3 linked regions of the Schizosaccharomyces pombe genome follow. The gene in region 1 interacts genetically with each later gene. Each region holds a gene or a part of one and is shown on either strand. Other genes may lie near its edges.

Evidence for each region. Genes that interact genetically often act in the same process or in processes that back each other up.
Region 2: mutations in mcm4 (region 1) and cdc6 are lethal when combined (synthetic lethality), as found in Schizosaccharomyces pombe (one study listed by BioGRID).
Region 3: of mcm4 (region 1) and rif1, a mutation in one rescues a mutant of the other (synthetic rescue), as found in Schizosaccharomyces pombe (one study listed by BioGRID).

What each region holds. Positions count from the first base shown.
Region 1 is NC_003421.2:897,359-905,164, reverse strand, and holds mcm4 (MCM complex subunit Mcm4/Cdc21), read right to left. Parts: upstream 4,778-7,806; 5' UTR 4,764-4,777; coding exon 2,028-4,763; 3' UTR 1,740-2,027; downstream 1-1,739. Other genes in the region: SPOM_SPCC24B10.02C (NAD/NADH kinase), read left to right, coding at 266-1,615; 19S proteasome regulatory subunit rpn1302, read left to right, coding at 6,010-6,140, 6,338-6,422, 6,533-7,483. UniProt on the Schizosaccharomyces pombe protein: Acts as a component of the mcm2-7 complex (mcm complex) which is the putative replicative helicase essential for 'once per cell cycle' DNA replication initiation and elongation in eukaryotic cells.
Region 2 is NC_003423.3:2,741,762-2,749,700, reverse strand, and holds cdc6 (DNA polymerase delta catalytic subunit Cdc6), read right to left. Parts: upstream 5,940-7,939; 5' UTR 5,859-5,939; coding exon 5,630-5,858; intron 5,578-5,629; coding exon 2,546-5,577; 3' UTR 2,511-2,545; coding exon of another isoform or gene 1,374-2,510; 3' UTR 1,105-1,373; downstream 1-1,104. Other genes in the region: ribonuclease H Rnh1, read left to right, coding at 184-910; hen1 (S-adenosylmethionine-dependent methyltransferase), read left to right, coding at 1,374-2,510; Ras guanine nucleotide exchange factor efc25, read right to left, coding at 6,536-7,939. UniProt on the Schizosaccharomyces pombe protein: Catalytic component of DNA polymerase delta (DNA polymerase III) which participates in chromosomal DNA replication.
Region 3 is NC_003424.3:2,764,456-2,771,808, reverse strand, and holds rif1 (telomere length regulator Rif1), read right to left. Parts: upstream 5,537-7,353; 5' UTR 5,440-5,536; coding exon 1,237-5,439; 3' UTR 1,106-1,236; downstream 1-1,105. Other genes in the region: serine/threonine protein kinase Ppk6, read left to right, coding at 1-873, 914-1,105; tpz1 (telomere-protecting protein), read left to right, coding at 6,376-6,489, 6,546-6,643, 6,687-6,937, 6,984-7,018, 7,057-7,198, 7,237-7,353. UniProt on the Schizosaccharomyces pombe protein: Negatively regulates telomere length. Appears to play no role in transcriptional silencing of telomeric loci.

The DNA.
Region 1 (7,806 bases):
CATCAAGTAAATTTCTTCATCAAAACTATGAAATTGGTGGTGAGGACATGCTGCTCATGTTACGTAAACTCAGCTCTTAGAATTTACCAAGATACCTACACATTCATATGTAGCAATATTTAATCTCTTTCCACTCGATTATACTTGTAGATACAATATTGTTGAACCTGGAAATTGGAGGGACTTGACTAATCCAAATTGGACTGTTTAGTAGCTGCAGCGAACATCGTAGGATAAGCTTGGTATTTCGTTTTAGAAAATCAGAATGGCTACCAAAGTTGAGGAAATAAACAAGCTGAAGAAAAAAAATCTTCATTTTCGACAATGCAGTGCTGACAGCTTGTCGAATTCCTCAATGCAGTTTGATTTGTCGGGCCTAAATACACCGGTTGGAGAATTGGCAACTTCTAACCTCCCTTCACCCGCTCATCCTCCCTTTGGTGAGCTTCATCAAGAATCTAGGACTTCTAATTCCTCTGCGATGCATATAGAGAATGTGGTTGCTTCCAGGCTTATGTATAATGAGGTTGCGAATGGCTCCTTTGCCTTGGAACCAAAGAATATACTAGTTGTAACGAAACCTCGAAAGCATTCGTTAGTTTACAAGACGGCAGAAATCACAAAATATATACTCACAATCGGAACACCGGAAACCAAGGTATATGTGGATATGAGACTAGCTCGTTCCAAGCGCTTCTCTGCTCATAACATCGCTAAAGAAGCAAATACCGACATTGACCGGATCAAGTATTGGAATCCGTATATTTGTTTGATTAAACCAAGTATTTTTGACTTAGCTATAACAATTGGCGACAACTCTACATTATTGTACACATCGTGGTTATTTCAAAAAATTGGGCCACCTGTTCTTTCCTTTTCCGATGATGATGTCCCTGGTTTTTTGACTCATTTTAGTTTATCTAACTATCAGCAGCATTTGTATCAGGTCTTAACTCAAAACGTGTCACTCAGGTTTTGTTCGCGGCTTCAGTGCTCTTTTCATAAATACGATGAAAAAACTAAGCAGTATTCTTTGGCTTCCACAACATACTCTCTTGATGAAATACTCATTAGTAGAGGAGAACATCCATTTATTAGTAACTTGAATGTTTACAACAATTCCGAACTTATGACTGTGGTTCAAGCTGATGGACTTGTTGTAGCTACTCCTACAGGATCCACCAACATCTCAGCGAATGCTGGTGGTTCTCTGGTACATCCTGCACTAAATGCGATTTTAGTAACACCAGTTTGTCCTCATACGCTTTCTTTCCGTCCTATTATTTTACCAGATTACAATGTTTTGAACGTTGAGATCCCTTTGGATTCTCGAAGTAGTGCATTCTTTTCCGTTGACCGTCATGAATCTGTGGAGATGCATAGAGGCGACTATTTATCAATTGTTACGTCTCATTACCCTTTCACAACCATTCAAAATCCAGGATACCAATGGACCAAGGTATTAGAAGATAAATTCAATTGGAATGTGCGTGAGCGTCAAAAGCCCTTTTCTAGAAAACCAAGCTTGAGTGATGTTAAGGATACAAGTGACGATAAATTTGATATTACAGATAATTCCTATTGCAGAGAATTTTCTGCAGACATTGATGGTTAAATTGCTATCCATTTTTCTTTTAATGACATCTGACTACTGTTGAAAATACTTAAAATTAGGCACACACTGCCTCTACGAATCATGGCGAATTATTGGTTACGATTGTTTAGATATCTGTTAGTTTTTTGAAAGTTTATGTTAATTATTATTATTATTATTATTTCAACTTTGGTATTAACGAATTTATATTCATAATGTTTACTCATTGTTCAGTTCATACTCAAAAGCCGAAAAAAAAAAGAAAAATGAATGTTAAGGATCCCTCGATAAATATGTAAAATATTTTTATAACAAAAAGAACGTGTGTATATATAACAAGAAAGACATTCGTATTATGCTCTGTAGTCTTTGATTTTCAACAACGACCTATGGTTTATGGCTCATGAATAATACCAGCTTATTCGCTAAAAAATTAATCAGTCTGTGCAATTGAACGTACAATGCGATGTCCAGCACTGGTAATAACCTTAATACGTCCTCGCCTTTCCAAAGCACCCAGACAAGCTTCGAAATCAGAAGCATCTAAGCGAGTAGAACTCTGCTCACGAAACCGAGTTAACAATTGACTGACCAACATAGTTTTTCCACCCACAGTTAAATTTGAAATTAAATTCGCCAGTTCTTTGACCATATCTTCAGGTACCAAAGTCTCTCTTTCATTAACATAAATTAGGTCAAGAGAAATCTTTCCTGTTGCAGGATCAGTTGCATAATCCTTAATAGCGGTCTTAATCAAGCGAGCAGCTTCAAGAACATCTCCTACCTCAACAACGTTGCGAAGATGCATTTTCGCATGGGCCTCAGATAGACGAATCATTGATTCCAGTTGTCTTGTTGTAGCAGTAATTCTTTTCTCAGATGCTCGCACATCCTCCCCAAGCTTTCGCATACCAACATAAGCATTCACTAGTTCCTTTGCTGCCTCTTCACTAATGACAGGATTAATATTATTTCTAGCATATGTGATATAGCTTGTCAAAAATTCCACACTAAAGACCTCCATATCTGTAGCATGTTCAGGAGTATCTTCCATGTACATAGAAACAATATGATTTGCGAGCTTCCTATCCAGCGTTTCATCCACGCGGTCTAATATTAAATACACCAAATCAAATCTAGATAAGAGAGTAGGCGGAAGATCAATATTTTTGGTGACAGGCAAGTCTGGATTGTATTTGCTTCCAATTGGATTTGCACTAGCTAAAATAGAAGTCCTAGCGTTCAAAGTAGTAATAATGCCAGCCTTGGCAACTGTAACGGTTTGCTGCTCCATAACTTCATGAAGAATAGAACGTGTAGCATCGGACATTTTGTCAAACTCATCAATGCAGCAAATGCCCCCATCTGACAGTACCAAAGCACCACTTTCCAAGACTAGTTGCTTCGTGTCTTGGTCACGAGTAATATAGGCAGTTAAACCAACAGCAGATGAACCCTTGCCACTAGTGTAAACACCTCTGGGTGCTATCTTATGGACATACTTCAAAATTTGAGACTTAGACGTAGATGGATCACCACACATCAAGATATTTATGTCTCCACGATATCTCGGACTTGCGCCTTTATGAAAAGACTTGTTCGTTCCACCAAATAGCTGTAGCAAAAGCCCCTTTTTAACATCATCCATTTCGTAAATGCTAGGTGCCAGAGACCGGGAAAGAATATCGTATATATCGTCCCGCTTTGAAACTTGTTGAATTTTTTCCACTTCTTCGTCTGATATTTTCCGTACTTCATCAATTTGTAAAGCAGCATCTTCAGCAATATCGCTTTCCAACGTAGAAGGATCCGTACCCAAACGACGTTTGTCCTGCTTTTTTATGTGAACAACGTCGACATAAGTTTTAAATAATGATTTTACAGTACGCATGCGAGGGTTCAAACGAACTGGTACACAGCGAAAAATCCCAGTGACTTCTATACGATCTCCTGCTCTAGCAGAGTCAACCAGTTCATCATATACGCACAGACTTACAGAGTGTGGGGTTTGGCCATCCGGTACCACGTCAGGTGTCTCTTGGAGTTTAATAACTTGCTTATCGGCGAATTCAGAACGATTATGAATTAGCTGCATTGCATTTGTAGCACCACAGACTTCTCTAGGGCATTTTATGGGCTCAGCAATTCGCCCTCTATCGATTTCCACGGTAACACAATGACCACAAACTGAACATCGAAAAAATGCTTGCTTCATGTCGGGTATTACAGGTGTACACCTAAGTACCAGACCTTTAATAGAGATCAATTTGTCAATGTCACCAGGATTAAGATCACGCATATTAATGCATTTTTCAAGATTAAAAGGACGAATTTTGTAAATTTTAAGCTCAATGTCATTAAGAACATCTTCGGGAGGATTAGTTCCTAACAAGTCTAGCATAACGTCTTTAATGGTTTGATCCATGATAGGAATGATTTCTTGAGGGTATGAGTAAAGCTGGTGATATAGCTTCTTGGTTGGGGGATAATGCTTTAAATCCTGAACATCAAGATTTAATATTTCCAAACCCATAATACGCATGTTTCGTAGCGCTTCAATATACACTAGTTGTTCGGCATCAGGAGGTGGCATAAGTTCATTTCTGTATTCAGGTCGATACTTTTTCTTAAACCCACGTAGAAATCCACGAAAGGAAGCGATACTTTCTTGAATAGATACATTTGTTCCCCAAATGACACGGACAGTGTCATCAGCTACTTCACTGCTTGGGTGCGCCTGACTAAACGTGAGTGCATCTGACCCAGAAAACAACAAGCTACTAGGAGTGCTTACCCCGGGACGTTGAGGGTCAACTTCTCTTCGACGAGATGGGGTAGACATTTGCACGCTAGAATGGATGTCTCCACGTCTTGTCGAGCGCGGTGTTCTCTGCGAACTACTGTCAAGGAACAAGTCATTACGCTGAGATAAAAGATGAGAACGTGAACTCTGAGGAATGTTTGGACCTGGTGAACTAGATTCAAACAGTAAAGGAGAGGAAGCGAGAGGTGTACGCGCTGTAGTCCTCGGTGTTGTAAGGCGTGTAGAACCAGGAGACGAAGCAGGAAAAAATAACGGAGAAGAATCCACTGCTTCTCTTGAAGAGCTGTTAGCTCTTCCAGGAGTCCTCAACTCATTGGCTCTGCCACTTTGCTGACTAGAGGACATGACTCGTGGTGGGTGTAGAAAGACAGTGTAAGGGAGTAGAGTAACTACTCATAAACATACAACAATGAAGAGATAAATAGCATAGCAAAGATTTAAATAATTGGAAATTTGTATAATTTTTTAACAATTTGTCATATTCTCCATTGATCATCAAGCTACCAGTAATTGACTATGAAAATGTAAACTAAAAAACTTTGCGACACTAGATATTAGGATCAATTAAAGCAAATTTGTTATCATAAATAAGGTATTATGAATTTGTTATTGACTTACTTCCTTTTAAGTGATATTCTATTTTTTTGGACGAATGAAGAGAAATATGAAAAGAATGTTGAAATAAAGGATTACATTGCTTTAATTAAACGTTATGCTAGTTTAACATTTTGAGATGATCGTTTTTGCAATTTGGAACTACCAGTTGTATTTGAAGGTCGAATCTATTAACTGTGATTTGACGCTAATTGAAGAGGGCAGATGGTGATTTAGTAATTTTACTAATAATATTTCTTAAAATAAGGTTTATTTTGAATTTTCTCTCATATTGAATACCTGAGTTGTTATTATATTAACCATTTGTAGAGTTCATTTGACCATTCGACTACTGGACTGTCTCTAATAAAAAAAACTTAAGTCTGTATATTATGAGTTATATGGTGTGAATTTCAAATAGTGTATGAATGTATTTTTCTATTATTTCTAGTGAAATACCATTGTGTAGGACGCATACTTTTTCTCGATTATGTTTTGCTCTTCAAAACCTGAAAGGATTATAGACATTTATTGTATCTTGATTTTCTTCTATGTATAATTGGTGAAAACTGGTTTATTCTGTTTTACTATTGATGCCATTAACGATGATACAAAAATTGGCTTATGTCTTTTCAAGGCCCTTTAAGAGATGAATTCCACTGCATAGTGGAACGTTCCTTTTCCTTTTAAAGTGTAGTATTAATTTGCTATTAAAACATCTTTTTAGGCGAAACCATCAAATGCGGCTTGATAAATCAGCTTCAAATATTAGAGCAGTTAACCACCTAAAAAGATTGTCTATTACATGATAAAAGATGATTATAGTGGCGACAATTAGAAAATTAAATGATTTTGAGAAATCATGTCTATAGACATGATACGTTTGTGTGGATTACTTTGCTCACTTGCACTGTGTACACTGCATACTCAACTATACCACAACAATTCACAAGGTCAATAATCGTGAGCTTTTGAGTTGACAAAAAATAAATTACAAATGGAATCAGTTTTTGGAAGAGTAAGAAACGAGACTAGCGAGAGAGGAAAGTATGGATTAGTCTCCGTAAAAGCTGGAAAACTTCAAAGAAAGCCAGGAACGAATATTCTGCAAGCTGATCACCGAAAAGGGTATGTACTATAATAATAATATAGATAGTAGTCCTTTCTACTGGGAAAACGAAATTCTACCCAAAGAATTGTTTATGAAGCTTCTTTGCATGTTTACGTTGGAAGGATGCGTGAAAATCCACACTGTTGGGTTTTGTGGAATTGTTTTCTGTTTATAAAGTTAAAAGATCTGATTTTTAATACTGACATTTGTTTAGAGTTATCTATATGCAAATGGCTTCTGATGAATTATTGCATTTCTATTGGAAAGAAAGGGCCAGGGTTTCTAGAGAAGTAGAAGATGTATGAAGACAATTTAAATCAATTGCAAAGTATACCTATTTATATATATAAATTTACTTTTGCGTTTTTTTTTTTTTAATTTGGTTTATGTTTACTAACATATAATGAAGGACTACATCATATTTCCAGAAGAAGCAGAGTTTATCAAAATTGATGAATGTACCACGGGACGCGTATATGCACTAAAATTTAAATCCTCTTCGCAGATTCATTTTTACTGGATGCAGGAGTATAGTGATGAAAAAGACAAGGAAACAGCTTCCTTAATCAATCAATTAATTGCTGACCCTGTGAATACGACTCGGACTATCAACTCACATAATAATTCTAGCAGTAGAGGTACGGATGATTCATCAACCAGCCAACTGCTGCAACTGTTTGGTGCAGCAAGCCAAGATGCTCTGCAAGACTTTAACTGGGAAGTTTTATCACCTACAGCCGAAGCACCGGCTATCCTGCCAAGATTTCCTAACGTTAACGAGTCAGCAAACATGTATCGTGCGTCAAGTGAGTCGAATTTGAATGGACCACATGCTACAGCTGGTGAGAATGGCGAAGATCACGAGGAGGCAACGGCCTCCCCTTTGGATGAAAACATCGATTATACTCATTCACGTACGTTGGAATTATTAGAGCAACTTCAGCCCTTGATTTTGAATGAAACGACGTTTGTCGAGCCTTTCTCCATTGACAGAGAATCTCATCGTGTGATTACACATCCTAGAGTGTATCCCAAGATTTTCCCACATTCTCCTTCCGACCTTTTGCGCATCAGCGGTCGTGCAGAGTTGAGCGAAAATCGAGATTTTTTTAAGCACTTGTCGAGTTTAATGGAGGCAGTTGCAAAACCCGAGTCAGAGTCGTTGCGTGAAATTTGCAACTTGAGTTTAGAGCAAGTGCAAAGTGCTAGTGGAGCTGAATTATTTTTGCATGCGTTGTACGACCGTTTGGTGAATGAAGGGGTGATTGTGATTTCGCACATAACACAAGAAGGTTCTGATGGCGAAGTTGAGGAGGAAGGAGATGTTGAAATGAGAGAAAGTAACGAAAAGGACGAATAAGAAGCGTGGAGAGGAAAAGACGAATTCGTATATATATATTTTAATATATGTTATGTTTATGAACAACAAGCTAGCACAAAGAACGTGATGTAATTGTAAAAGTAGAGTAATCGTATTTCAACATTTAAGCTTCCTTTTTTTTTTTTTTTTGTTTATTTGTTGTTGACGGGAGAGGATTGTTGCAAAGTACTTGTAGGGGTATAACAGCTTGTATAGGGAATGGTTTCACCTTTCTCGTTTATCTGATATTCTTCCAAATTTACAATGAATTATATATCAATTGCATTAAGCTACATATCGCAATATCATTAAGAATTCAAGAA
Region 2 (7,939 bases), on another chromosome or scaffold:
TAAGACTGCGTATCTCAAGAAAATGGTTTCGTTGTTAAATATAAGTTTCACGTTAAGCAAGTTTCGATACGGTCGTATGCTTTGCTTCAATTCAATCTGAATCGGTTTTTTCAAGATGATCTCTTATTAACATTTCCTTGATGGATACACCTTGTTGTTTAACAAACTCTTACTAATTTTTAGGGATGAGGCGTCGGATCAGGTGAAAGGTTATGGAGGTAATCGCTACAAGAAATTTGACAGCTATGAGGCTGCTCAGGAATTTTGCAGGACCGAAGGAAGTCGCTACTCCTCGTCTTCTGGCCCATATCGCCGCAGTACAACAAGTTATGGGTACTCTCCATATTCTTCTAGTTCCTCAAATTACTCTGCTAGACACTCCGATAAATATAGAAAGAAAATTTCTAGAAGTTATAGTACCGAAAAAGATATTGAAATATTTTCGAATGACACTCATGAAAAATCAATTGCGTGCTCGGATCGACAGGTCGTCTATGCTGACGGTTCTAGTTTGCGAAATGGGAAAAAAGGAGCTGTTGCTGGCTGTGGAGTTTTTTTCGGAAATGATGACCCAAGAAATATTTCAGTACCGTTGGCTGGGGAAGAGCAAACCAACAATCGTGCGGAATTGCAAGCCATAATCCTAGCCCTTGAAAATACATCTGGCGATTTGACCATCCGCTCTGACAGCAATTATTCCATTAAGTCACTAACCACATGGCTGCCTAAATGGAAGAAAAATGACTTTAAGACTAGCAATTCACAACCTGTAAAAAATTTGGATTTGATCAACCGCGCTTCAGATTTGATGAGTGACAGAAATGTTTCGCTAGAGTACGTGAAAGGACACAGTACCGATTACGGTAATCAACAAGCCGATATGCTTGCTCGGCGAGGAGCTTCTGAGTAAATGGTCATCTATGATGAGCGCTGTAAAAAATGGATATAGGTACATTCTTTTGAAATTTGCCGTATAATTTTCGTCTACTCTTCGCTGGTTGTATGTGCTTTTTTTGTTCTCGTTTTGCATAATGCTACATATTTTATTGTAATTAAATATCATGCTATTATAACAATTTTAAAGAGGAAATTGAAAAGTATAGATTCGGAGCTAAGATAATTTTATTATTTAACGTTGAAAATGACACTTCGCACTAGTCAACAATTCCCTTTTCAATTAAATTTGGTTCGGTGTCTTAACGGCAGTCATCGAAATCATATTGCAATGGACTTAGCAAAGAATTAATAACAATTCGCTTCGTAATGAATTTGAAAAGGCTTAAATAGTGGTTTTGAAACGAACATTCACAGTTAATAGGTAGTTATTTGACTAACGTGAAGAAAGTGTACCAAAAATACTTTGAGTTTAGACAATGGGTGTCTCTAGCTTTTACCCACCTTTGCATGTACAGCGTCGAAGGAAATTATTTAAAATACTTCAAGGAGGCTTCCCTGTGCGATCTTTGTTAGACATTGGATGTGGAGATGCTCGTTTTCTATCATATTTAGTACCTTGCAATGATCAAGTGCCTATAGAATTTCTGGCCGGTATTGATATTAACGAACAAAGTATTGAAAGAGCTACTGAGGCTTTACAGGTTAGAACCGAAGACTTTTTACAACTACGTTGGCGACCGCTACATATTGAATTATTGCTTGGTAATATTAAAGATTTTACTCATTATAAACATGTTGATGCGGTTGTAGCTTCAGAGTTTATTGAGCATTGTCAAGTTGCAGAGATTTTAGCCTTTGAAAAACTTGTTTTTGGAAACTTGAAGCCCAATGTTTGCGTAGTGTCAACTCCGAATTTTGAATTTAACACAATCTTTGAGAAACTATCAACCTTGACAAGTAGTATATCATCTCGTACTTCTACCAATTTTAGACATCCTGAACACGTTTTTGAATGGGATCGAAAAGAGTTTGCTAAATGGGCTTATAAAATTTGTAAAAGATACCCAGAGTATACTGTTGAATTTACGGGCTGTGGTTTGCTAAATGATCTAATAGATGGTGACGATTTGTTACATTTTCGCCCATCATCTACTTACGGTTTCTGCACCCAAATCGCAGTATTTCATCAATCTAAAAACAATGCTGCTTCTCATTGCTTCTTAAAAGACCAAAATTCAAGCATCCTTCTTTACAAAAAGATTACATACCCATTTATGGAGCAACTATTTCCTCCAACAGTGCAGCAATTTATGAATCTTCTGAAAAAAGCATTTTTTGATCATTTATTTGGACGTCACTGTTTACTTTTATTCCAGGTTATTGCTGGCAAGTGTGCTTTGTCAGTAAAATTACCTTTCTTGTTTATCTGGGAGTCTTCGCCTCTCATTCGACATGCCTTCCATTATGATGATTCAATTTACTTATCATATTGTCCTGAATTAAAAAAAAGCAAACATAAAGGTATAGCTTTGGCAAACTCGTTTAGTTTTCGCATTGCAAAAGTACTTAAGAAAAGTAGAATTTTTATTATAACTTTTCATCATTACGTTTGATATACACATTTAGTAATTAAAAACATCCATCTTTTTCACCAGGACATTTCATCAAATCTTTTCAGTAAGTCAACAGATTGCTGAAGTTTCTTGTGTTCTGCAATTCGCATATAAAATATGGGGCAGTCTCTACTGGTACAAATGACGTCTTGATGCATACTTCCTTGGCATCGCTGACATTGAGTCCATAAGCGAGCAAAACGAACTTCTAAATCATTCACTTGAGCAACCTGACGTTGATACAGTTCCGCCGATCTATTTAGACAATTCTCACATAAAGCAGTTTTACCTTTTTTTATGGGAGCTTTGCATCCAAGACAGGTCTCAACCTTTACTGCGAATTTCATTATTCCTCCAACACTGGGGGCTGCCATGGAAATCGTCCGAGTATGGTCACCATGAAGTAAAGAGCTAGCTTTTTCACCAAGAATAGGCTCAAAAATTCTAAGCAAAGGTTTGGAGAGTTGATTTTCCAAATAATATTTTGCATCAATAGGAATGTTATTTTCCAATACATATATAGGGTCCTCCGACCTCATATAAAATTGATCACCTTGTGCACCTTTAATAATAACGTATGCAACGCGATCTCCTATGGCTGGGGCGGAGCCAGCATCTCGTTTACGCATTCGCTCAGCCAATTCAACGTGTGCCATTTTGGCAGCATAATCAGTTTTTGATAATGCCTTTGTGATTACAAGTTGTGACATATCAATTTTGTTTTGTAACAAATCGGAAATAACTTTTTTTGTAAACAACTGTGCACCCTCTACATCCTGATCAATTAACATTTTTCTCAAAGCTGTGTCAATCACATAAGATACTAGAGGACAGTTATCTCTTCTGACAGTTTCTATTCCTTTAGAGTCCATTTTATCATAAGTATCTGTACGAGTCCAAAATAATCCTGCATAACGTTTTTTGGAAATTAAAAGATATGGAAAGTACACTTTCTCAAACTCCAGTTTAATAGGATTCGGAAACTGGTCTGAAACATAATTAGCTGCTTCCTCTCCTAATTTCATGGCTTCAGGTAACGTTTTAACGCCAAACTTAACCATAACAGAATCAGTGTCACCATAGATTACAACTGCATCGTGAGAGTATCCATTCTCAATTCTGTATCTCTTTTCTACAACATCCTTGGTTTTTTCAATCATTTGTCGACCATAAGAGGTAACAGAAGAAGAAATTGCTAAACACGGCAAACGTCCGTTGGTAGCACCAGTAAATCCATATACTGAATTAGCACTTACTTTTAAAGCTAGCTGTCTACCATCCAAAACAGCCTTTTTGAATGGGTCCGTTTCCTTTTTTAGATCTGCTTTTGCTTTCTTACGTGCATTAAGTAAATCAGCTAAGATAATAGGGAGTAGTCCTTTACGAACATGTGGTTTAACGAAATAATCTCCGTTCGGAGTCACTGAGTAGTCAACATCTTGCTTAAGTTTTAATAATTCTGCAGTATTTGAGTCAAGTAATGTCGTATAGCATAAATTATGGGCTTGCATAATCGAAGGATAAAGTGAACTAAAATCCAGTGTTGCAATAGGGGTATCATAGTATCCTTTAATCGGTTCAATGACTGTAGCACCTTCATATTGCTCATCTGTTCCATTTACACGTATATTTGGAACAACTAGGTCATGTTGAAGAGCTTTGCGAAACAATTGAGAAATAACTTTAATCTGTTGGCCTCTAGCAAGAAGAAAATTAAACGGTACACCTGTTACTCTTGCCATTTCAGTATAGTTAACAAAACACATTAATTTGTCCATTAAGCGTTGGGGTAAATATGCATCTTTCAGACAATAAATAGCTAAACGTCTTCTAGAATCGGCAGTGCCATTTTGCAAGTCAGTGATGATAGAATAGTGTACATCTTCTTTTTGCTCGCCTAGAAACTGAGAGCAGACTGCATTTAAAGAGTAAGATCGAAGCTTAAAATCACGCTGCATTACTTGTAACATATCAAGCTGCAAACGCCCAGGAATACTAGTGGTTTTGCTTTCACGAGTACCATATGCTTTACTTGAAAACGTGGTTTCCTTTGCGACAGAAAAAAAATTATGAATACGGCCAAGTAATGGGAAATTGTGAATGCGTAAGCTTTTTGCTCGATCCAAGAGGTAAGGGATATCAAAGTTGCAGATGTTGTACCCAATTAAAACATCTGGGTCAACATCACGAACAAATTTTGACCAACTTGAAAGCATTTCAGCCTGATTTTGAAATTCATATACTTGTGTTCCAACGATTTGTGAGCATGTATCAACACAAAAGACATTACGAACAAAAGGAGTGGAGTCTCCATACTGCGTTACTATACTTGCAATTTGAATTACAGGGTCAATAGAGGGATCAGGAAAAACGCCTTTGCGACCTGCGCATTCAATATCAAAGCTCATGATCCTCAGTGGGGCCATTTTAGACCACTGGCCTTCAGCTGGAAGACTGATCAAGTCTTTGTAATTAATCCAAGCTTCAATTTGACAATTAGAAACTCGATTCTGGTAACGAAATTGATATTTTGAAGCAGGAAGATGAATCCAATTCATACCAACAACATCACAGTCAATCATGAATCTAAGAAGATATTGCGTATTGCTCTCAAAAGTAGTGACACCGACACCAACAGGGAAAAGCTCTTCGAAGTTGAATTCTCCTCTTTCAAATACATTTCGTGCTCGAGATAATATACGAGGGTTAGTAGTAAAGATTTTAATGAATGGAGATTTTTCATTTCCCTGAAATCCATATAAATTTTCCTTCATCTCTATAATGCAATGATCGATCACACCCCCATTACAAGTAGCATCTAAATCTTGTGTGAAACGTTCTAGCATCTCAGGTCGAAATCCAACCGGGGCTTTAACATAAAAGTACGGAAGGAATCCCACAACATGAACAAGGATGCTGTTTCCATTGTCAGTAACACCAAACAAACGAATTGAAGGTACAGATCCTTCTGTGAACTCCTCACTATCGATTTGCTGAAAATAAATATCATCCTTCTCAGGATTTATTGCAGGTAAAGCTGGTCGTTGCCACTGCTGATCTTTTGAAGCTATCAAGGAGTCAGTATACTAATAAATGGTTAGCTATCCAAAAAACCTTACATTTTATTTCATCTTGGTCCAATTGTGAAGCGTATTCAGCCAGCTCATCCTCAAAAGATGAAGTTTTTTCTTTTGAGGATGAGCCCTTTTTATCACCATATCCATTTCTTTCGCTTAAACGTCGCCGTTTGACATCTGTAATTTCGCCATGAATTGAACCATTTCTTCGGGGAAATGGATAGTTTTCTTTATTTAACACGACGCCCTCATTTGAAGACCTATCTGTCATTCTAGTAATTAATTTTTTATTTATTATGAAAATTAGAACAGAAAATGGTAAATAAGGAAGACACCAAGCTTACATGCTCTTGGTTTTTGGTAGGAAGACGAGCAACTAAAAGGGTTTTGTAGGTAACAACAAATAGGTACTTAGGCGAATATCTTGTAGGTAAGTTCAAAGCGTACACCAATAAATTTTGGTATGAGTGTCAACTGCTGAAAAGGTAAAACCACATTAAATAGGTTAGCTGTCAAATTACGATGGAGAAAGAAATCAAATATACAAGTTTATACCAATCTCCATCAAGCTACATAAACCACTACTTAATGTATTCTTGGGCATAACAAAAGACTAATTTATTATTAATGGAAGATATTAGTAATAAAAAGGACGCAATTGTCCAAAAACAAAAAGAACTAGATTCCAAGCAATAGGAATTAAGAAAACTGAGCAGAGTCATCAGCCTACAAACCGACAATTCCGATAATTTATTCTGAGACTTTGTTTACCAACGCCTAATGAATAATACAACATCAAGGTCATGTCAGTTAAACCAATACGATAACATTAACAGTAAATACGTAAAGAGATAGATTAAAAGCTGTGTCTGAAAGACAACTAAAAGAGCGAACCCTATACGGGCTAAAACCAAAACGGGATTTTAAGAGAGGGGTAAAAAATAAGATTTAAGAAGAACGAGGTTCAAGTGAGAGTGATTTATCAAATAAATAGGACAGATCTTGGTTAACAAAGCGACACCGATGTAAAATATAGCTTTGAAGATCAGTATTAGATTGCATTTCGTAAGAGGAGGATTGGAATCGGCACACATCTGCGACGACATCGGCAAGTCGATGCCGCTTATTAAAACTTAACAGATGTGGAGATGAATCAAGAACATCGGGGTTACCTTCATCGATAAAAGTCAAGTCACTTAATATGACACCCAAAAACGGTACGCAAGGAAGTTCAGCCTTGCGAAGTAAAGCACGATAAGTACTGAAATTTTTCTTTGTTTCCACGATTTCACGTAAACCAGACAGACATATTATGTCTTCAGCTTTAACAAGTTTGTACGCTGCATGTAAACGATAAATAGGAGCAGAATTTAAGGCAGAAACAATAGACATTAGAGTGGAAAAGTTTTGGAGGGACAAGCACTTGTAGGCAGTTTGTATAAAAAAGGATATTACTGCTGTACGAGCTTTGGTATTCTTTTTCTCTAAAATACAATTGATTATCCAATAGGTGAAACAATTCGAAAAGTTTATATAATTTCGGACAGCGCTGCGAGAATCGCGACTAACCCAGCTTCTAAATATCCATTCCCTCGAAGGAATCTGCTTTAGATAATCAAACTCCAATAATGTCATCTGGGAAGCAAATTCTTCAGGAGTATAAGCATATACGTTTAAAGAAATAAAAGTAGCCATGGGAGAAGATAATAGGCGTTGGGTTAACGAATCTGGAGGCTCTTCAGTCCAGAGATTGTCAATTTCCGATAAAATTACACTGCCAATATGAAAAGATGGAACAACATGGTCACGTAAAAAGGTACGCATCTCCGAAATCAAATAAAGAGTGTTACGGGCTTTTAAATCTTCAAAAAAGTATTTTTGAACCCACAAATTCATAACGGTGCAGACGTTCTTCTTGGTAACAAAATTATCTCCCTTTTCCCAAGAACTATATGCTGTAGCATCTAATCCTGGTGGCGGTAACTCGTGAAACAGAATGACAAGAAGCGTAAACAATTCCTGGGGGGTAGTGAACGTTTTATAAGTCAAAAGAAACGAATGGCGAAAATCTTTGTTCAAGTGAACGTTCTGGACAAGGTAATGCACGAGGGCCGGTAAAGTTCCACCTTTAACATTGTTATCGCTTTGCACAACTTTATTGGTTAACAAATTATCCAGCATCAAAATTGATTGCAAAGAGTTTCTGCCAAGTGTTAAGGTATCCTTGCTCATCTCGCTAACAGCGGTAAAATCAGAACTTCTAGAAATTCTAGTAGTACCTTTGTTAGTTTGACGAGCCGGTTCGTCATCTTTTGCTGTGTTTGCATTTGAAAACTTGTTTTCAAACTCTTT
Region 3 (7,353 bases), on another chromosome or scaffold:
ATTGATTGCCAGATTATTTCTGTTTCACCTCATTCTGTTAAGTCTAATGAGCCCGCTTTTGGAGTATGGCTTATATTTGATTCAGTGGATAATCGTGCGTCTGATTTCGTAAGATCAATGCGCTCCTCTGTGATCTTAGAAGAAGTCGTTATTTCTGACGAGAGTGAAGAAGAAGAAGACCTTTCGGCAGACGAAGATTACGTTGATTCGGAATGGGAGGTTGTACCACACAACATCGCAAGCTATACAACTATCAAGGAATTAGGAATAGGCGCTTATGGTCAAGTAAAACTTGCAACTTATAAATCTAACAAGGTTCATGAAGTTATTTTGAAATCAATTAGTAAAAGTAGGATACTTTTGGATTCATGGATGCGAGATAAAGATCTTGGAACCGTACCTATGGAGATCAGTATACTTCATTTTTTGAAAGCTCATTCCCACCCTAACATCGTAAAAATGATAACTTTTTTTGAAGACAATGAAAACTACTATTTGTTAACTGAGCCCCAAAAGCCTGGAATAGATTTGTTTGATTACATCGAATTAAAACCATCGATTTCTGAGAAAGAGAGCAAGGCTATATTTTTCCAAATCGCATTAGCTGTTGCCCATCTGCATTCTTTTGACATAATCCACCGAGACATCAAAGATGAAAACGTAATTCTAGAAGGAAACGGATGTGCAAGACTCATTGATTTCGGTAGTTCGAGCCTTACGAAAAACGGGCCTTTTGATACATTTCGGGGTACAGTTGGTTTTGCTGCTCCGGAGCTACTAAGAGGTGAAAAATATCTCGGTAAAGAACAGGATATTTGGGCTTTGGGTATTTTATTATACACGATAGTTTATCGGGAAAACCCTTATTATAACGTAAGAGAATTATTATAATGGTATGCTAACTAATTATTAGATCGAAGAGATTTTGGACGCCAAACTTAGAATTCCTTTTGAACTATCGAAAGATAATGTCGATTTAATTTGTCGAATGCTTGATAGAAATGTGCATGATCGCATTACTATTGAAGAGACGTTACAACATCATTGGTTTGATGATATAAGATATTTGGACACATCACATATACGCATACCTCTATCCTCTTGAAACTAGAAAGTTCTTATCTATATACATATGTTATATATTAAATGCCAGTATGAACCCCATTAATAAGATTGATTTATGACTAAATTGACCCCAATGCCGGTCCGTAATTCCTGTACCCATGAGTTGAATAATCAAGCAATTCTAGATAAAATAGCTCTCTGTAATCTCATCAACAAATCACTAAGCTTCTGAACTTCCTCCGATTTTAAATCTTGTATATTCTTTTCGATTTCAAAAGTGGCTTCCGTCATTGATTGTATAATGTCTTGAGGACCAGATTTATCAAACTCTACAGATGAAACTTTGTTGGATTCATTGTTTGTATCAATGGACCCTGAAAGTAAGCTCGAAAATTGTCGTTTCTTGGAATTTTCAAATCCGTTAACTGCAGTTGTTTCATTCTCGGTTTTTTCCTCTGGTATTTCAGTTTGGCTCAAACTACTTTCATTAGTAAGTACACAAGCAGATTCGTCCAGATTCTGTCCCTGTTCTGAAATCCCATGTCGTTCTATGACTTCCACATTTTCCAAGGTTGCGGACACTTCGCTAATTGCAACTTCCTTATTCACGTTGGAAGATTGGCTCTTACGTCCAAGTTTTCGTTTCTTTCTAGTACTGCGAGGAGTAGATAGAACACCTTCACGAGAGGCAGTTTGCCCTTCTGGTTCTATCTGAGAATTTTCTTTTGAACATTCATCATTATTTGCTGTAGTGAAGGAGTTATTGACACTCGGCGTTCCATTATTATCAGCTTTCCTATTGCTTTGGCTTGAAATATTTTCCTTTAAAAGAGCGTTAGAGTTGTCTGCCACATCTATAGCTTTATCAGGTACAATTGCTTCATCTCTTAAAGAAGTATCGTCTACAATTACTTCCTTATTGACCTTGCCAGACGGTGTTGTCAAAGACTCTTCCATATCAGTAGCTTCATTTTTTGTTTCATCAATTTTTTTAACATCACCTTTTTGTCTTTTATTTTTCTTAGACGCTGGCATTTTTCCTGCTTTCCCTTTTGAGCTGTCGTCTAATTCTTGCACAGAAGCAATCTGTATGTAATTGTCGTTATTAGGTTTACCAGGACCAGAGAATTCGGTAGTCTTTTCTCCTTTATCTTGTGAAGAAGCATAAGGACCATTCTTAGAGACAGATCGCAACTCATCAACTCCTTTTAATATATCCGACATCTTTTCGCTCGATTGATGGTTGGCTTGCTTACCACCAGGACATAGTGACTGAAACGGTAAAAGAATAATATAAGTTTTGCTCAGATACGATATTGTTTTTTGTAGTTCAATAGGGTATTCTTCCGATTCAAATTTACCAAAAACTTGATTCCAAAACTTGATAGCAGCAAGGACCACCTCTTTTGAAATACTTTTAAGACCTGATGTCAACAGCGGAGAAAGAGATTCTAAAATATTAGAAGCTGTAGCAGTGGAATTTAGTAGCAGCTGCAAAATTAATATACAAAAGTTGGTACATGATTTTTGTAATGTGGTAGATTTCTCTAATTGTGGAAAAGCGTTCATAAGGAAGCAAGGTATCAAACCTTTAGACAACTTACAAATAGTATGAAAAATGAACTCTTTGGGTATTTTCTTTATAAATTCAGAAAGCTCATGAAGATAGCGACACTGTAGATCTACTTGATCGGAACTTGATAACCTTTGTAACAGTGTATTATACAATTCGACCATGTGGTTGTAACTATCCAGGTGTTGTCTGATATTTTCAGGTAATGTTACAGGTGGTAGCTCCTTTGTGCAACTTTCAAAAGTAGAAACTTTCATCAAAGATATGGCAAATGAATAAACTTTATTTGCTTCAAAACTTAATACATCATCGAGGATTGTAGTAAAAGGATCAACGACAAAAGGAAAAACGCTACCACATCCTTCAAATTTATAAATAGCGGTAAAGTATTGTTGAAGAAGATTGTTTACACTACCAGCATCACTAATACTGCAAAACTTCACATTCCAACTTAATAGTTTAAGTAATATGGATCGCTCCTCTTCTGAAAATCCTTCTTCTACTGAATTATTTCCATTCCGACTTTTAAGTTCTGAAAGCAGAGCCTCCGAGGTCAACCTAGATACTTCATGGGAAACGAGAACTCTCGCAAGCACTAAAGTTCCATCGTCACTCAAAGGAGATACACAATCCCAAAGTAACATAAGTTTTAAACCAAATCTTAAATGATATTCTTCAATGGATGACAGAATACTGCTGTAAGCGGCATGTACAGTCGAAAATAATGTGCCGTTTGTTAAAAGAGCGAGAGAGTGGAGCAAGTAAATTAAGGGGCTAATTGGGACATGATCATAACTATCGATTGCTTTTGTCTGATCTATTAAAACAAGCTGATTATCGGAAACCAGATATGATGCTTCGACGAATGTATTAATACCAAAAGCTTCAATGGCAGACTTAACCATTAATGCAAACCTCGAGACTCTTTCCACATACAGTTCATCTTTACGAATAGATTTCGAATATAAAAATTTGTGAAGCGATGAGCATATGCAGCATATAGCTCGGCCAGTCTCTACAGACCTTTTAATTTCCTTCTGTCCAGCACTGGCCAAACACTTTATATAAGTACTCCAAACAGACGAACTTTGTTCATAACTAAGACCTCGTATATGCTGTTTACGAGCAGGCGTAGTGGTTTTAACAGTATGATCTGGTTTGGCTAATAAAAGTAAAGTCTTGACCGGTTCAATTGTCCGACTACAATTAGCACGAACCCAAACAGGATTGAGCTTTGGAAGTTCTTTTGCTTCTACCGATTCACGGCAAACCAAGCGGTCATCTTTCCAAACTCCATTAGACAGCGTGTTAAAGAGAGCCAAAAGTATGTTAGAAGACTCAAAAATAGTAACCTCGTTTTTCAAGGCACACTTTTCAAGTATGTTGACAATAACTGAATCCCACAGTAAAGAGAGCATGGCATCAGAGATTCCGGGCCTCAAACATGCATATATTAAAGCAATCAAAGTAGTCATTGCTGCATTCTTTACTGTTGGCAAATTCCTTGAACCTAGAACCATGGAAATAGGCTGACACAAAAGAGTTAACCGCTTGGTAGCTTGTGTGAGGGTTTCAGAAAGAGAAAACTCATGAATTAAACGGATCCAAGATGTTTGGGCTGCACACTTAGTTAAAGGATTCATGCTGTTAAAACAAAGCTGAATAATTTTAAGCCATGTGTTAAAGTATTCCCATGAGGAAATTCTTGCACCTCCCAAAACTGATATGATGGCAGCCCAGGCATGAGCCACATAGACACCGTCGTCTTCTTCAATGACAAGCTTCTCAAATTGCTCTGTCATGATAAGAACAAATGCAGTTCCCTTAATATCACTTCTAAAATTAGCGAGGATAGTCCGTGCGACTAACTTGTCGTGATACAAATGTTTGCTCAGGTCCAAAGCAAGTAATAACGCTTTCTCACGGATAGGCCTTGAGGCATCAACTAAACAAGCTAGCAGATAAGGAGCCCAATCAACTACACGACGCGAAAATTCTAGTGGAAATTGGCTTAAAATTTTTGTTAAGACAGCTAATCGCTCCTGACCTATAACAAGGGAAGGGAATGAAATGTTAAAACACACGTCTAAAATACGATTACATAAAGGGTGAATGGAAAGAGGGCATTTTTGACAAGAAAGAAGATGCAAATGCTGAGCCGCGAGTGCTTTAGTTAACTTTGGTCCTTCTAAAAAATTCAGCGACTGCTCAATGAAGACTGTGGCAGTTTCTGGTTGAATGTGAGAAGAAATAGTTGGATGCCAAAGAAGTATGCTGAGAAGTTTGTTTGCTTGAGTATTCAATTGAAAATCGGGACTACCCTCTGAATTGTTAGAGCATCTATCCGATAATAAAAAATTGCAAAGTTGATTTAAAAGGGGGAATATTGGATCCTCGGGAAGACTTGGTGTATAGATTTTCAAAAAGGAAGACAGTTTTGAGTATGTTTCGATTCGAGCAGATTTTTCAACATGTTGAAGATTTTCTATTCCGGAACAAAACGAGGATTGTAGTTCTTGCAAGGAAGTCTCTTTTTCAGATTCATTTCCTTCAAAGGATTGAAAATTTGGTTGTTTGATACTAGATAGAGGTGTTGAAGTTTTTAAGATACCTCGTTTGGGTAAACCGAAAGATGGTCGATTTCCACCGGGGGAATTTTCTAGTTCACTACTAAAATTTACCTTCTTCTTACGAATCGAACTACTAGGTGAGCTGCTCAGTCCTACAGCTTGTGATGATGGGGTTGAAGGTTCTTGTAGAAGCATATTTGAAGCCTCCTTCACAGCAATTTCTTTTGTCATCGCAACATCAGCTGTTATGCTTTTAAAAATGTTTTAGCTTCATGGGACCGATCGCACCAAAAAATTGCACAAATAAGTTTATTTACAAAATGGTGGTAGTAGGCTAAATGTGAGTTGAGTTATAGATGTAAACACTGTTCAGCACGGTACCAAGCTATTGAGATCTTTAACAACACTGAAAAAAGCTAATTTATTCTTTCAATTATGAAATTTTTTTTACTTATTTCTGTACACCAATTTAGACTTAGCAGCAGCAAATTGAAGTAGTATAAAGAATAAAATTGAAAAGCAGATTGGTTGTATTGTTGATCTTTTATAAATAAATGTCCGGTAATTGCTTCAATCTTTAGTATGTTTGATATCCGCACATTTAAAATGCGTGGTTAAAATTCTTGTAGTAATAAGTGCAGTAACTAAATAACTCAGTACATTCTTAAGCCAATTCATTCCACCCTTTATTAACTTATCACCAAAATTTTATAAAACAGTTCTAAGCAAAAGAAAATTCTTGCCTAATTTTTCAAGTTTTGTCGTCTGGGGTAGAAGGTTACAGCAATTCCTTTGAAGTAAGTCAATTTTGTTAATGGGAGATACAGCAACCTGCTATTATTTGATTCTTCTCTTATAAATTTTTGGATGAACCATTACTAAATACATGAGTAGTAACTTCTAAAGATTTGGAATACTGAAAAGTTGTTATCCAAAATCTAGATTGAAAGTGCTTTTGACAGTAACTAAACTAGAAGAACCAAGTCCTTGGAGTTGATGATAATATTTCAATTATTTTGTTTTGAGGAAATGATGAATGCAGTGTTCTGCTGACCTTGCTTTCAAGAAAAAAAGTAGACGATTAAATATCAACAGACTTCAGTCAGCACTGTTACTTATTAAAAAAAGTTGATTTTTATATAAAAGTTAGCTGCGTTAAACAGTGCAATGTCAAATTGCTTAAAACATCCTTGGCTTGAGAATGGACTATTGAATTTGATCAAAAACGCAGATGTCCTTCCGATACGTGTATTTAAATGTCAGCCTTTACAAATATTTGAGGTATTATACTTTATCTTCTATCTTTCGAACCAATTCTGACTATATTTAAACTTCAGTATATACGATACGAACATCCAATTCGATGCAAGCTATCCGATACAGAGTTTTACATTGAAGCAGAGTTTTCGTCTCAGAGCATTTCGGACTTAAATAAGTATGTTTCAATTTATCAGCACAATATTGATTGTGATTTTTAGTTTTACTGAAAAAAGGATAACATCTTTAAGAGGAGGTATCGTGACATTGGGCAATTTTTTAATTCACTTAATTCCTAGTCAATCAGGCATTATTCCTTGGATACAAGTAGAGTCATTTAATTTTCAGGGTTGTGAGGGTGCTGTTTTTGGAAACCCTAAAGCTATTACAACTTCTGCATTGTTTAATGCATTGCTTCAATCACCTTATCTTGCTGCGCTTGCCAATGAATTTAACCGATCAATTAAAGAAGGTATTATTTGTAATTTTACACGATCTATAATTGACCCTTTTTCTAGGATCGTCTTACCAGGAAGCCTCCCTTAGTCAACAGGTATTTTGTAAATTTTAGCCAAGTTTACTAATGTCAAGGAAAAACCTAATGACAATACTAGTAATTCTAGAGATATCAAAAATAACATCCAATTTCATTGGAAAAATATGACTTCCTTAAGTATAGAAGAATGCATCATTCCAAAAGGACAGCAACTGATCTTAGAAAAGGAGTCTGAAGGTACCAAAGCAACTATTATTTTCAATTAACATGTATAGAAAATACTACTCATGGAATTTACCTAGAGGAAAGAAAAATGGCTCAAGGACTTCATAATTCTGTTAGTGAAACCCCAGAAGTTAAGCAAGAGGATAACGATGAAGATTTAGACGCGT